3 linked regions of the Arabidopsis thaliana genome follow. The protein of the gene in region 3 interacts with the protein of the main gene of each other region in a pairwise test. Each region holds a gene or a part of one and is shown on either strand. Other genes may lie near its edges.

Evidence for each region.
Region 1: the proteins of ASG1 (region 3) and VAMP714 interact in a two-hybrid assay, tested with the Arabidopsis thaliana proteins (one large-scale study listed by BioGRID).
Region 2: the proteins of ASG1 (region 3) and AT5G03970 interact in a two-hybrid assay, tested with the Arabidopsis thaliana proteins (one large-scale study listed by BioGRID).

Annotation. Positions count from the first base shown.
Region 1 is NC_003076.8:7,403,444-7,407,485, reverse strand, and holds VAMP714 (vesicle-associated membrane protein 714), read left to right. Parts: upstream 1-1,602; 5' UTR 1,603-1,831; coding exon 1,832-2,051; intron 2,052-2,158; coding exon 2,159-2,349; intron 2,350-2,517; coding exon 2,518-2,681; intron 2,682-3,016; coding exon 3,017-3,107; 3' UTR 3,108-3,482; downstream 3,483-4,042. Other genes in the region: QQT1 (P-loop containing nucleoside triphosphate hydrolases superfamily protein), read right to left, coding at 1-46, 136-210, 301-380, 456-500, 808-899; AT5G22355 (Cysteine/Histidine-rich C1 domain family protein), read right to left, coding at 3,730-4,042. UniProt on the Arabidopsis thaliana protein: Involved in the targeting and/or fusion of transport vesicles to their target membrane.
Region 2 is NC_003076.8:1,070,970-1,075,363, reverse strand, and holds AT5G03970 (F-box associated ubiquitination effector family protein), read left to right. Parts: upstream 1-1,874; 5' UTR 1,875-1,992; intron 1,993-2,378; 5' UTR 2,379-2,386; coding exon 2,387-3,643; 3' UTR 3,644-3,858; downstream 3,859-4,394. Other genes in the region: AT5G03980 (SGNH hydrolase-type esterase superfamily protein), read left to right, coding at 75-218, 332-1,159.
Region 3 is NC_003071.7:10,242,804-10,247,561, reverse strand, and holds ASG1 (ATP-dependent DNA helicase), read right to left. Parts: upstream 2,818-4,758; 5' UTR 2,642-2,817; coding exon 2,507-2,641; intron 2,422-2,506; coding exon 2,182-2,421; intron 2,116-2,181; coding exon 1,942-2,115; intron 1,859-1,941; coding exon 1,752-1,858; intron 1,672-1,751; coding exon 1,421-1,671; intron 1,341-1,420; coding exon 847-1,340; 3' UTR 568-846; downstream 1-567. Other genes in the region: PRPL35 (Ribosomal protein L35), read right to left, coding at 4,146-4,223.

The sequences.
Region 1 (4,042 bases), on a different chromosome or scaffold from region 3:
AAGAACAATTCCACTTGGCCAGGAAAATCAAAGAGAATGTAATGATCTGCAAACAATTCAAAACGTTTTACTTTAAGAAAGAGATATTATGACCACGAAAAGAAGAAGAAGAAGAAGGGACATATCGTTGCTAACCCTTCAGAAGAGGCTTTAGTTTAGATTCCAGCCAGTCAATGTTTTTCTCCAAGTACTCCATACAATATACAAGACCTGTCACATTAGAAAGTTTCTTTGTTAATTTGACCAAAGATTAAAATCAAAAGTAAGAAGAAAAGGGAAAATCAAGATGGCAAAATTCACCTCCATTAGGACCAAGCGAGTGTTCCGACATAACATCTTCTAACTTGATCAATTCTTCTATATTCACACCACACTCATAACTAAAATCAATGTCAAGAAACAACATACACCTGCAATTTTTAACAATTTTGTTGTATTTGGCTTGAAAAGGATACGGTAATGCATCATTTGCAGGATCCAGATTAACAATAGCAACCTTCCTGCAACAACAACAAAATAGTAACTCAACGTTAAGAGAATTTACTTACAGAGAAGTTCTCACGAATCTGCAAATCTCTCTACCAAAAACAAAGACAAGGCAACAACATTTCACAATGACTCTGCTCAAAAGTCAGACAATTCAAATTTCTGGAATTCAACACTATTATTTACTAAAGTTTGCAACTTGTAAACTTTACAATGCGAGGGACAGCGAAACAATCAATACAAACAGAATTACAGATACAAAAGCCAAGTAAGCTTCATTCTTTGATCCAAAAAGAGAAGAGAAGAGAAAGAACATGAAACCTGCCCATTAGAGAGAGGAACTGAGACATTCCATTGCAATAAGTGGTCTTTCCCGATCCTGGAGGACCTATTACTACTTGTCCAAACACCATGCTTCTGAAGACGAAGAAGAAGATTGATACCAATCGGAGTCAAACACGTTGTATAATATCAGAGCCAGTCAGACAAAAAAACACAGTAATTGCAAAGCAAAATCATCTAATCATCAAACTAACATAACATGAATATTCAATAGAGAACATCAAAACCCTTCTAAACACTGAGCTCGTAGCACAATAGAAATCGGAAATGTCATTTGTTCGTCGGACACAGAATACAAACACAATCCTCCAATATTATTAACCCAATTCCTAAACCTCGTTTATAATACAACAAACAATTCACTGGAGAAAGAGAAGCAGAGAAACAATTTGCTTCAAGAGCATATTCATTATATCAGAAGCAACTGGAGACACAGAAGAAAATAAATAGAGAAGCTCGCCTGTGTAGTTAGCCGGAGAGAGAAGCAATGACAGGTCTGTTTGCCGGAGCAAGAGAAACTCGCAGCCGGAGACTCGTCGAAGACTCGATTCAAGGCGAAGTAAGCTCGCCGAAGACTCGATCGGTATATTTAAATTAGGGCTTTAATTTTAATTCGGTTTATTCGTGCTATACTCGAACCGAACCGGATAATCGAAATTAAAAAGAAGGAAACGATCAAGTTATTATTGGAGTATCCGAACCCAAACCGAAAAGTGAATTTCGGGTCGGTTTGTTTTCGGATAAGTTACCAAGGCCTAATAAATTGGTAAACCGTAAACCGATGCATCAGGGTTTAAAATGTAACAAAATAATATTTTAGGTGACAATTAAAAACGTAACAATAAAACAAGGGGTTATATTCGAAACGTTTGCACCTAACCTTATAACTTCGCATTTTTATACTCTGTTCTGATCGCAGCAAAGCCGACGTTGAACTTTCTCGCCGCCGGAGCGCGTGATCTCCACTCTCTGTCATCGAATCACTCTAATTGAAGATTCTCCGATGGCGATTGTCTATGCTGTTGTAGCGAGAGGTACCGTGGTATTAGCTGAATTCAGCGCCGTTACGGGAAACACAGGCGCCGTGGTGCGACGGATCCTCGAGAAGCTTTCACCGGAAATCTCCGATGAAAGACTTTGTTTCTCTCAAGATCGTTATATCTTCCATATTCTTAGATCTGATGGTCTTACCTTTCTCTGTATGGCCAATGATACCTTTGGAAGTAAGTATTTTTCACTTTCTCCGAATCGTAATCTCTCTTAAGAAGATTTAGTCTTTGTAATTGATTCTGAGTTTTATGTTTTGATGTGTTGGTGATTGGATTTTCAGGGAGGGTTCCATTTTCGTATTTGGAAGAGATTCATATGAGATTCATGAAAAACTATGGCAAAGTGGCTCATAATGCTCCAGCTTATGCAATGAATGATGAATTCTCAAGGGTTTTGCATCAGCAGATGGAGTTCTTCTCTAGTAATCCTAGTGTTGATACTCTCAATCGTGTTAGAGGAGAAGTCAGTGAGGTATAATTGTTTCTTCGTATGATCTCTAGATATTACTCAGCTATATCCATTGAAAAGGTTGAATTTTTATGAGTTATTACGCCTTCTTGGCTCACACAGGCTTCTTTAAATCTGTCTTGGGTGAAAGATGAAGTTTGTTATCTCATTGTTGTGTTATCGTGTTTACAGATTCGATCGGTCATGGTAGAGAACATTGAGAAGATAATGGAAAGAGGTGATAGGATTGAGCTTCTTGTTGATAAAACAGCAACAATGCAAGATAGCTCGTTTCACTTCAGGAAGCAATCTAAGCGCCTTCGCCGAGCTCTTTGGATGAAAAATGCTAAGCTCCTGTAAGGATCTCTCTCACTTCTAGATTCTCTTCATTCCTTTTCTTTGCTAACTAAGAGATACGCTCTTCTACATTCTAGGTGTTTCAACTCGCCTTTGCAGCATAGTTTATTGATATGTTTCTTAAACTAGAGATACAGTAGTTCTAAGATTCAACATTATTTTCGATTTTGGGAAATTCTCCTCGACAAAATATCTAATTTTTGGCTGATAGGAACTACACTGCCTTGATTCCACCTCTGCTTAAAGAAATTTCATTATTGTTTTGTTTTGATGCTTGAGTTCCAGATCACTTTTATTAATCAACAAAACTGCTTTTCTTGTTTGTGTTCGGCAGGGTCTTGTTGACATGCTTGATAGTTTTCTTGCTGTACATAATAATCGCATCTTTCTGCGGAGGAATCACTTTACCATCATGCAGATCTTAAAATCTGGCGGCCTTATCTAAGGTATACTGAAACGGACCACTGTTTTTGTAAATCAACTCAGTCGCATCATTTCGATTTGAAGCCTTGGTTTTGTCATGAAAATGACTGTGAGTTTGAAGTTACATGTCATGGTCCTCCTTGCTTATGTAACTCTTGTAAATGTCAAAATCAAAATGATACAGAGGTTCATTGAACTCTTGCCTTGTCTTTTAGATTTAGTCACGTGAGTGAGTTTGTTCTCTGTATTTCCAAAACTTTATCCGCTGTGTCTTTATAATTTTTGCATTTGCAATGTACATCACATATTCGTTATTTTTGTTGTTAAAATTACTTCAGTTTTCATCTTTGTTTAATAACATTTCTGATTCACAAATATCTGTTTCCATCATTTCTGTCTATGTTTTCATTAACTAAATCATATTAGTTGCTACTACCTTTTTAGCAAGTTTGTCATAACTTGTTACGACTTTATATATGTCATCGATACAGTTTAATCCTGCCTGTACTGATGAACACAGTATGAATATAACCAGAATGCTTAGCACTTGTAGTTGGAAATAAACTCTTACATCCAAAAAATTACGAGAAACAATAGAGTGAAATAAACAGCTACATAGTTGTCTTAGCTGTATTGATAGTCGGGCACTACACATGCATCGGAACAAATGTATCCAGTATATGGATCACAAAGCTTTAGAATGATAGGAGCTCTGCATCTGGAGTGACATTTTGCACAGAAGGGGCGAGAACTATAGCTGTTAAGAACCACTTCAACTCTAACATTATTGTAGTTGATGATGCGTCCTGGCATGAGACGTGAAAAGTCTCCAAGCACACATTCAATATGTGCAGTAACCACACATTTAGAGCAAGTGTAGAACCACTTACTTGGATCTGTTTCCGCCTCGCAAATATCACACCAATATTTTCCGGTT
Region 2 (4,394 bases), on a different chromosome or scaffold from region 3:
CACATAGGCAACAAATTCTCTCATCCTTCTCTTTGTCTAAAACCAACAAACAAATCTCTCAAACTTCTCTAACAATGTCTACGACCAAAGCATTATCGCTTCTTGTGTTTATACTCTTCGTGTCCCTTGTTCATTCATCGGATCAATGTCCTATCAACTCTATCTACCAATTCGGTGACTCCATCTCCGACACTGGAAACTTAATCCGCAACGGCCCTGTTGGAGCCAGATCTTCTCACGCCGCTAATTATCCATACGGTCAAACATACTTTCACCAAGCCACCGGTCGTCTATCTAACGGACTGCTAATGATCGATTACTTGGCACGCAGGCTTCATCTCCCACTCCTAAACCCTTACCTCAACGGGAACACAACGTCTTTGTTAACTTCGGAGTTTCCGGAAGCACAGCACTCAACAGCTCTTTCTTCTCCGAGAGAAATCTCCACGTTCCGGCAACAAACACTCCTCTCTCCATGCAGCTTGCTTGGTTCAAGGGTCATCTACGTTCCACGTGTCACGGCTCTTCTTCGGATTGCTTGAAGCACTCTCTTTTCATGGTCGGTGAGATAGGAGGCAACGACTACAACTACGGTTTCTTCCAAGGCAAACCAATGGAAGAAATCAGAAGCTACATCCCTCACGTGGTTGGAGCCATCACAGCCGCAGCTAGAGAGGTGATCCGTGCTGGTGCGGTTAACGTGGTCGTCCCGGGAAACTTTCCAGTGGGATGTTTTCCGATTTACTTGACGTCTTTTCCCGTGAAAGATACAAAAGATTACGACGACAACGGTTGCTTGACGCATCTCAACGAATTCGCAATGGATCACAATAACCAACTCCAAGAAGCTATAGCTTCTTTGAGAAAAGAGTTTCCAGACGTGGCTATAGTATACGGAGATTACTACAATGCGTTTCAATACGTTCTACGAAGTGAAAGATTCGACAAGAGTGTAGCTTTGAAATCGTGTTGCGGGACCGGTGGAGCTTACAACTACGACGGAAAGAGGCCATACGGAGCAGTGGGAGTTCCGGTGTGTCAGAATCCACACAAGTTCATAAGTTGGGACGGAGTGCACTTGACTCAAAAGGCTTATAGATTCATGTCTAAGTTCTTGAACAATCAGATTCTTTCACAGATCAAGTGTACTAGGGCTTAATTACGAGCGTTATTTTTTAGTCCCTCCTCGATTTTTTGTTAAGTTATAAATCTCTACTATTTGTAATAATATCTTACATCCTTAGATTTTATTGATTTTTTAAGATATGTTTTTTTTTTTTTTGAACAACAGATTTTTTAAAATATGTTAGCATCCTTTTTTACTTATGAAGATCATATAAATCGTAAGTCCAATTTCTACTAGACAATCTTATTTTAAATGCATACCTAACTGCAACCTCAAATTTCTCAATTGCATTAACAAAAGTGACAAATGACATTCCTAGAACAAAAGAAAACAATTATGTTCATGCCACAAAAGAGAAAAAAAAAAAAAGAACAATATTTCAGAATTTAATCTCGAATCGAATATAGAGAAAAACACAATTTGAAAGAAAGAAAAATCTTCGTCGCTTGTCAAAAAAAAAAAAAAACGAAATCTGTCCCGTAGTTTATAATTTTGACCGTTCGATTATCCCTTAAATCTTGTCCGTCGTCAGATGAAACCAGAGAGGGGATGTCAGAAAAAAAAAGGTTAAAAAGCAAATAGCATAACCGGTTCACATTTATTGTAGTAACAAATTGACCTAAACCCTAACGAAATCGTACCAAACATAAAAATAATGTAAATCAAATTAAAGCAATTCATCCAATCAGAATTCTGGATTTCCATCAATCCGAACCAAATTTAAACTGAACTGAACCCGGTTCAATCGCAACGAGATCCGGTTAGGAGAAAGTACTTGTCCCTTTATATTGTAGCATTGTATAACTTTAGTCTTGTGAAGAAACGTTTGCATCCCTTCTCTGCGTTCAGCGTTCGTCGTCACCAAGGTTCTTCTCTCTCCTCTTTTAGCTCTTGTATCTTCCAATTTCTTGACGTAATGCTAAGTCTTTTTTTCTACCTTAGTGATGAGTCTCGCTCTGTAATCGTTTCCTGTTCTTAAAAATCGTAACTTTGAAGCTTAGGGTTTCAGAAAAATTTCTGCGAAATTCTCCGACTTTTGTTCTTGTTCCTCATGGGTGTAACCAAAATAACATCTTTTGTGATTTTGCATGCGTTTTGGTAGATTCTCTTTGGAGATTTTAGGTTATTGAGTTTTCTCAATCCACTAGATACTTGAAATTGATTTGTGTTTCTTTGTAGCTTGTGGGTCTTTTGATTCTGTGTGGTTGTTTTGATTGTGTTGGATTTCTATTACTGATGAACAAAGAAACAGTGTCTGCAATGTCTTGTTCTGCCAGGTTAAAAACCAATTTGGGGATGACTTCTGCTCTGAGTACTCATGAGGTTCTTAACAGTAATGATACTATGTGTGAGATTCTTATCCTGCTTCCACCAGAAACGATATACAAGCTGATTTTGGTGTCCAAGAGATGGCTTGAGATTATAGCCAGCCCTTGCTTCCGTCACACTTACTTAGCCAAGTGGAAACCTAATTTTGAACTCATTGGCTTCTTCGTCTGCAGCTCAATGTACCTTGGAAGACGCATAGATGGAACTCGTCGCCCTCGCGCTGAGCCATCTCTTCCTTTGCTCTCAACCAGCAGTATTGGTGATGAAATTGAATCCTCTGGTATTCTGAAAAAGCTTGGATACTACATCGACTCTGCAGATGGTCTTCTACTCTGCGGCCGCCATCCAAAAGCTTACTACTTGTGGGATCCGAGTACACAGAAGCAGCAGCAACTTCCACGTCCCAGAGTTCATTTCGAAGAACTTTGTATGTCTTTGATTTCTGAGGATAGTCCTGATCAAGGGTTTAGCTACAAGGTGGTCCGGGCAGAGTGTGTAGCCTTTCCTGTTAACAGTACAAAGGTGAAGGTAGAGACTTTTTCCTCAAAAACTTCTACGTGGAGCTACTCAGAGCTTATTTGTCTCGAGCCTCTATCTCTCAGCCCGTGGACTCCAGGGAGAGTGATTAAAGGCGTTGTTTATTGGCATGCTAGAGGAGGTAAAATTGCCATATATGACTCAAACAGTGAGGAGAAACGGATTGATGTGATAAAGCTTCCGAAAACATATGACTATGATGAACAGGTTCTGGGAGAAACCGATGATGGGTCTTTACAATACGGATGGAGCAATAAGTCGGTAATGGAGGTATGGAAGCTTGAAAAGGTAGGCAATGTGCTTGAATGGAACCTGCTGTTTAAGGTGAATTTCAAGGCGATGTGGAAAATGAACCAAGCGGTAGCTACAAGATTCAGCACTTGGACTAAAGAAACGCAGCTGCTTGCGCTCTTCAATCAGAAGTCGGACTTGGTGTACATCAGATGTGATACACAAATCTTCATCTATCACACAGAGACTAAAAGGGTCGAAGTAGTTCAGTACCAAGGACGAAAATCGACACTCGTTTGGGATTTCAACAAAGTGGTGCCTTACTTTCGACGTACCTGGCCTTGTTCTCCTCTGTTTGAAAACAATGCCATGATGATCGACACTCCTCAATGCAACGCCTCTTCCGCAGGAAGTAACTAAGTAGTTTATGCTTTTAATCAGTTTATGTATGTAGGCTATTCAACTATCTTTTATGTTTTGATGCTGAAGGTTTTTGGTTTTGGCCATTGATGAACCTCTCATGGTTTTGATGTATTCTCTCATGGGTGTCATTAAAGACTCTGCCTTTTTGCATTTGCGTTTTGGATCTGCGTTTTGTGGTTGACTCCGTTTGTAGCTAATTTATGATAATTTACACATAGAACAAATGGTTCAATCTAACAAATTATAAAACAGATCAATTTATTTACACAGATAATCGATGTCACTTGTCTACATAGTTCTTAAGTTATAGGTTGATCCAAATAGTTTCAATATTATAAGTTGAATTAATGGGTCACTTGGAGAATGTCCACATTCTTTGAAATGTAATGACGAATGTTTGTTCTTTCAATTTTCTAAAAAACGAATAAACATAATAATAATTATAAAGTCATGTAGTGATCTAAGAAACAGATCATAGTTTCTCTCTATGTAATCTTAGGTACAGATAATAACTTTATGATCTCATTATTGGTACATTGATTTTTTTTCTATTTTCTTTTTGCTTGCAACCTTTTTCTTCCCTTTTATCTTTTTATGAATGATGAAAATGTTATGTTAAGATATTTGTAAAGATCATTGATTTGAATAAATAGAGACCCGTCTAAATATGCACCAACAATTCTGACTTCAAGTGAGATTTACATTTCAAAATTATGCATTATGCCTAGAAAAAAGATGATCACTAATA
Region 3 (4,758 bases):
AGCGACTTCCTTGCAACTCTTTAGCCTTTTACCTTGAGGCAATGAACATCGGCTTTATAGCAATGTTCTCTAAGAATCAAAATCCTCCTGCACCCTTGAAGGCTTTTTGGTAAACCATGCCGATGTTACATGTAGAGTGTCATAGAATCGCAAGAAGAGTACGAAGAGATCAGAAGTAAACACACCAAACAAGTGTTTTGGGTAAACCATACTGATTCACAAACCAAAACCACTTGTTTTGGTGATTCACAAACCAAAACCACTTGTTTTGGTGATTCACTCCTCATCTCCTTGTACGCTTCTTGAGACTCTTAAGACTCTATAAATCTCTTCTTGTAGCACTGTCCGCATTGTGCAGCGTATCATCTCTCTATGTGTCTATTAACTTGTTTCTGCTTCATAAATGAAATCAAACAAATTAAGATTTTGAGAGAACGAATCATGTAAAGATCTCCATTCGTCTACTCTATTTAAAACTTTGAGGTAGATGAAAGTAACGCTTGGGGGAAGTGAAGAGGTGCATTAAAACCAAAACAAACCATGTTTAAAACTGAAACGTCTTCGAAGGAAAAAATGTTTCTTGTGAAGAAAAGTTACTTGTTCTGCCTCTCTTTCTCTATACGATAACAAAGAACACGAGTTTAGGATGAAAGCAATAATAAAGTTTTGTTAATGTTTCAAAAAAAGAAATGGCTTTTAGAAAACGCCATCACAAAAGCATTTCTTTACAAGGATTCATCATCAAACACAAAAGTTCCTCCAAATCCTTAAGAACGAGAGAGATAATTTGATTTACAGCTACTTGTTCAAGATTCCTAGAACAAGAACTTTTCGGTTCACTATCTACTAGTCTTCTTCTGAAATGTTGAACAAGAACTTTGGGAGTGATGTGATTCGAGGAAGGTGCACCAGCAAATCACTGAATGAGTCTTTCCTTGACATCCCTTGTAGTGGCTTGCTGCTTGAAGCAGGGTCAACAACTCTTTTGCCTCCTTCGGGCATGTGTCTATTGTTATCGACCCCAACAACTCTTTCGGTATCAGCAGTTTCGATATTGAGCTGTGAGTTTGCAGCAGATTGCAAGAGGTTGCAGAAAGAATTCACCTTTGACATGACAGACTTCTCATCAGATGGATCGGTTTGAGTGTTGTCACTTAGCAGTAACTGTTTCATTTCCTCAAACTCTTGGTTGTTTTCACAAGCTTGATCTGACAAAAACGTAAGGAAATCGTTCATCGAGATAGATTGGTGTAGTCCAGGCATTTTTATCTGACTCCAACCGTTTGTATTCCTCGAATCAATGGAACCACCAACTCCTTCGATTGCACGAGCATCCATCACTATATATAAACAAGAACGTATGACCACAAGTAAAGAGAAACGAATGTGAACGATAAGATAGTGGAAACAAACAAAATACCTGAGCTAGGCGATAGTGCGTCATGAGATAGAGACACATGTTCTGATGATGACTGAGCCCCAACAGGAGATGCAATATTATGAGATCCAGACACTGAGGGATCCTCAAATATAGATAGTCGTGAATCAAAGAACGGTGCGGCCAAGTTTATCTCTGGCTGCCGGCTTAGACAGAACAAGCGATGATCACATTGAACAAGCTTCTCAAAATGTTTGTTCATAATCCCTGGGGGACACTGCAGAAAATGTTGCCTACCATATCACAAAGATACAGAAACCATTATCAGCCTATACTCACGAGTTAAGACTAAGGACATAAGAAATGTTCTTACCTGTTCATGCTAGCTTGACCATCAGTAAAATCCGATGTCGCCTGCCACAAAGTATGTTTTCTAGGCTGCGGATTAGTTTCTCTGAAAAACAATGGCCGCCTAGCCAGCTGAAAAACAGAACAAAGATAACAAATTAAAACATAGATGGTCGAGCAAACAAACGAAACGATCACAAGAATTCATTTCGTACCACAATAGTCAGGGTTCCAGGTTCATCCTCTGGCAAATTAGCCTTCAAAGCCATAATATCAGACCACTGAATCTCAATCTTGCTCTTAAGACCTTGTTCCAACACTTCCCACACAAGTTTATGTTTTGCAAAGTAACATTTCGCCACCAAATCACCTTCATACCTTGACTTATACTACAAACAAAATTCAAAATCAGATTCCAAAACACACCAATAAAAAACAAACTTTGAAAGACTCACCTCCCATTGACCAATCCTGAGAATAGTAGCAGGAAAGTTAGAAGCTTTAAGCTTCTCAACGGTTCCTACACCACCAAAACCAAAACTTTCTTTCTTAACCGAATTTGAGTCATCACCACTTTGAGAAAGTTTCATCTCAATCAGTTCTTGAAAAGATGGGCTCTTTTTTAAACTCAACCCCAAAGGACTTGGCTCTTCAAGTAGACTAAACTTAGAGACACTTGTTCCATTGCTCCATAGCTAAATTCATTTCAAACCCAGACAATAAAAATCCAAACTTTATAAAAGATGAAAGTACTAAACAAAAGTTTTCTCAACAAAAAACCTTGGATCGTTTGTTGAGAGGAGCGTGTTCTTCTTCAAGAGAATCTTCAATGATCTCTAACTTCACCGGAAAATTGTTGTTCCGATGCTTCGAAGCTTGTCTTAGATGATTCTCTGATCTCATCATCTCCACCATCCAAAAAACACAAAACCCTGAGAATCTAAGAGAGTAACGAATTTTGATTTGAAGATCTAAAAGAACGCGAAAAGGACGCGATTGAATAGCCACGCGCTTGAGAGATTTGTTTTTTTAATAGAAACAAATGTTGAGTTTCTAGAAAGTACCCGAATTGGCCTTTATGGTGTCTTTACGTAGGAGGCTATTTTTGTCATTCCTTATTTCAATACTTGGTTGAGATAGGCTGTTTAGGTCCCACGTTTTGCTTTTTTAATGACGGCTATTGATGGATAATTTGACACGTGTCATATTATTCGGACGCTAGCTTCTTATCTAATTTCTCTTTCTCCTTTCTTTGGCTTTGGTCTGTTTTTGTCGTCACATATTATAAAATTAAAATGGTTCCAATATTTGTATCAAATTAAAATGTGATATTTCATCATAAATTATAAAATATCAAGTGTCTTTAGGATATTTAAGTTTACTGTCAAGTGTCTTAACATTTATAAAAGATTGCTAATTGCTAAACACCCCCAAGAATTAGCAATTTTCTTACATTTTATGATGAAATATCAAGTGTCTTAGGATATTTAGTTTACTAATGTGTTAACACATCATCTAAAGTGTTCAATAATTTCTTTTTGTTTATAATAGAAAATGTTTTTTTACAGTGCAAAATAGAAAAGGTTTAGAAGATTTTAATCAATCATATATATTATTGACATATGAATCCAATCATAATTTATTACTTTAATATATGTAAAAAAAAAAGATGATTATAATATTTTTTGTGTTTGCATTTTTGACATTAAAAAATAAATCTATTAAAATTTTACAACTAGGTGTCACTTTGATTTAAATTTTCCAATTTTATGTTTAGAATTTTTTAAATTTGGATATTTTAATTTAATATAGGTAAGTAAAATAAAATATTGATCATGATTTATATTTTATAGTCTATAATTTATAAGAATGTTGTTGCAATGACAAGTTTGACAACCCATATAACTAAATCCAGAGTTAGTGAACATTTTTTTTTTTTAATTACTCAAAGATTTACATCTATTTGGCCGGAGAACCGAACATTTAATATAGTAAACATTACACTGTACTGTATTTTTTCTTTATCTAATGAACTCCCATTGTCAATGCATTAGCTAGTGAGTCACTATCACAGCCGCATTTTATCTTAATGCTTTTGACAACAAAAAAATAATGGATTGGGTTGTGAGACTTGAAAAGTGTCATAAGTGAGATTGGTGTGATTATAATACTTTGAAGTCTTTTAAGATATATCTGTCTCTGATTTCTTAACCCAAATCATTGATCAATGACCAAACTCGTTGATGAGGTATATGTTACACCTAGAATAGTTGTCATGCGAGACAAGAAAAAGAAGACACAAATATGAAACAAAAATCAACTCATTGACCAAATTATATCACAATACAAAAGGATATTACCACAACTTTAGATTACAAAATGAGAATTGCAGGTAAGAAAAGGATCAAGCCTGCTCTGCTTAAGTCGCCTTTCGATTGACTTTCAAGTAGGGCAGAGCTCCGATCACGTTGTCATAGTCGCTCCGGTTCACTTCCGTCTGCAATACAGAAGACAGAACACAAAGCTAAACGTGTAAGAGAGAACAGAGCAGCGAAGTTGCTAATTAACAAAGCCAAAACAAGTAATAACTTGAACTTGTGATCATTAGATTGATGCCACAAGATTTAGTTTTGTTTTTCTTTTATACTAGTTGATGATAATAGATTTCTCCCTTAGCCACATTTCTAATGAAAGCCACTGCAGATATCAATCGCATGGTTTCCATATCAAGGGTATAATTCTGCCAATAGCGTTAATCCCCCATTTAAGAGATTCAGCGAGAGGTGCACAGAGGCAAATGCACAATGAAAGACACGGTTTGAAGTTCAAAAATATGTCTTTCGACAAACGAAACCGTATATTTACTACCAAGACATTAGCAAACAAGTCATAACTGGGTTGATAACATGAGTTTTTGTTTGCTAAGAGCATGTTCTTTTCCTAACGATTCATACCACATGCTGAAACATTCAGCAAAACCCACTCACAGCTAATCACTAAAGCTCAGAAAATACGAATGCATTTCACACACA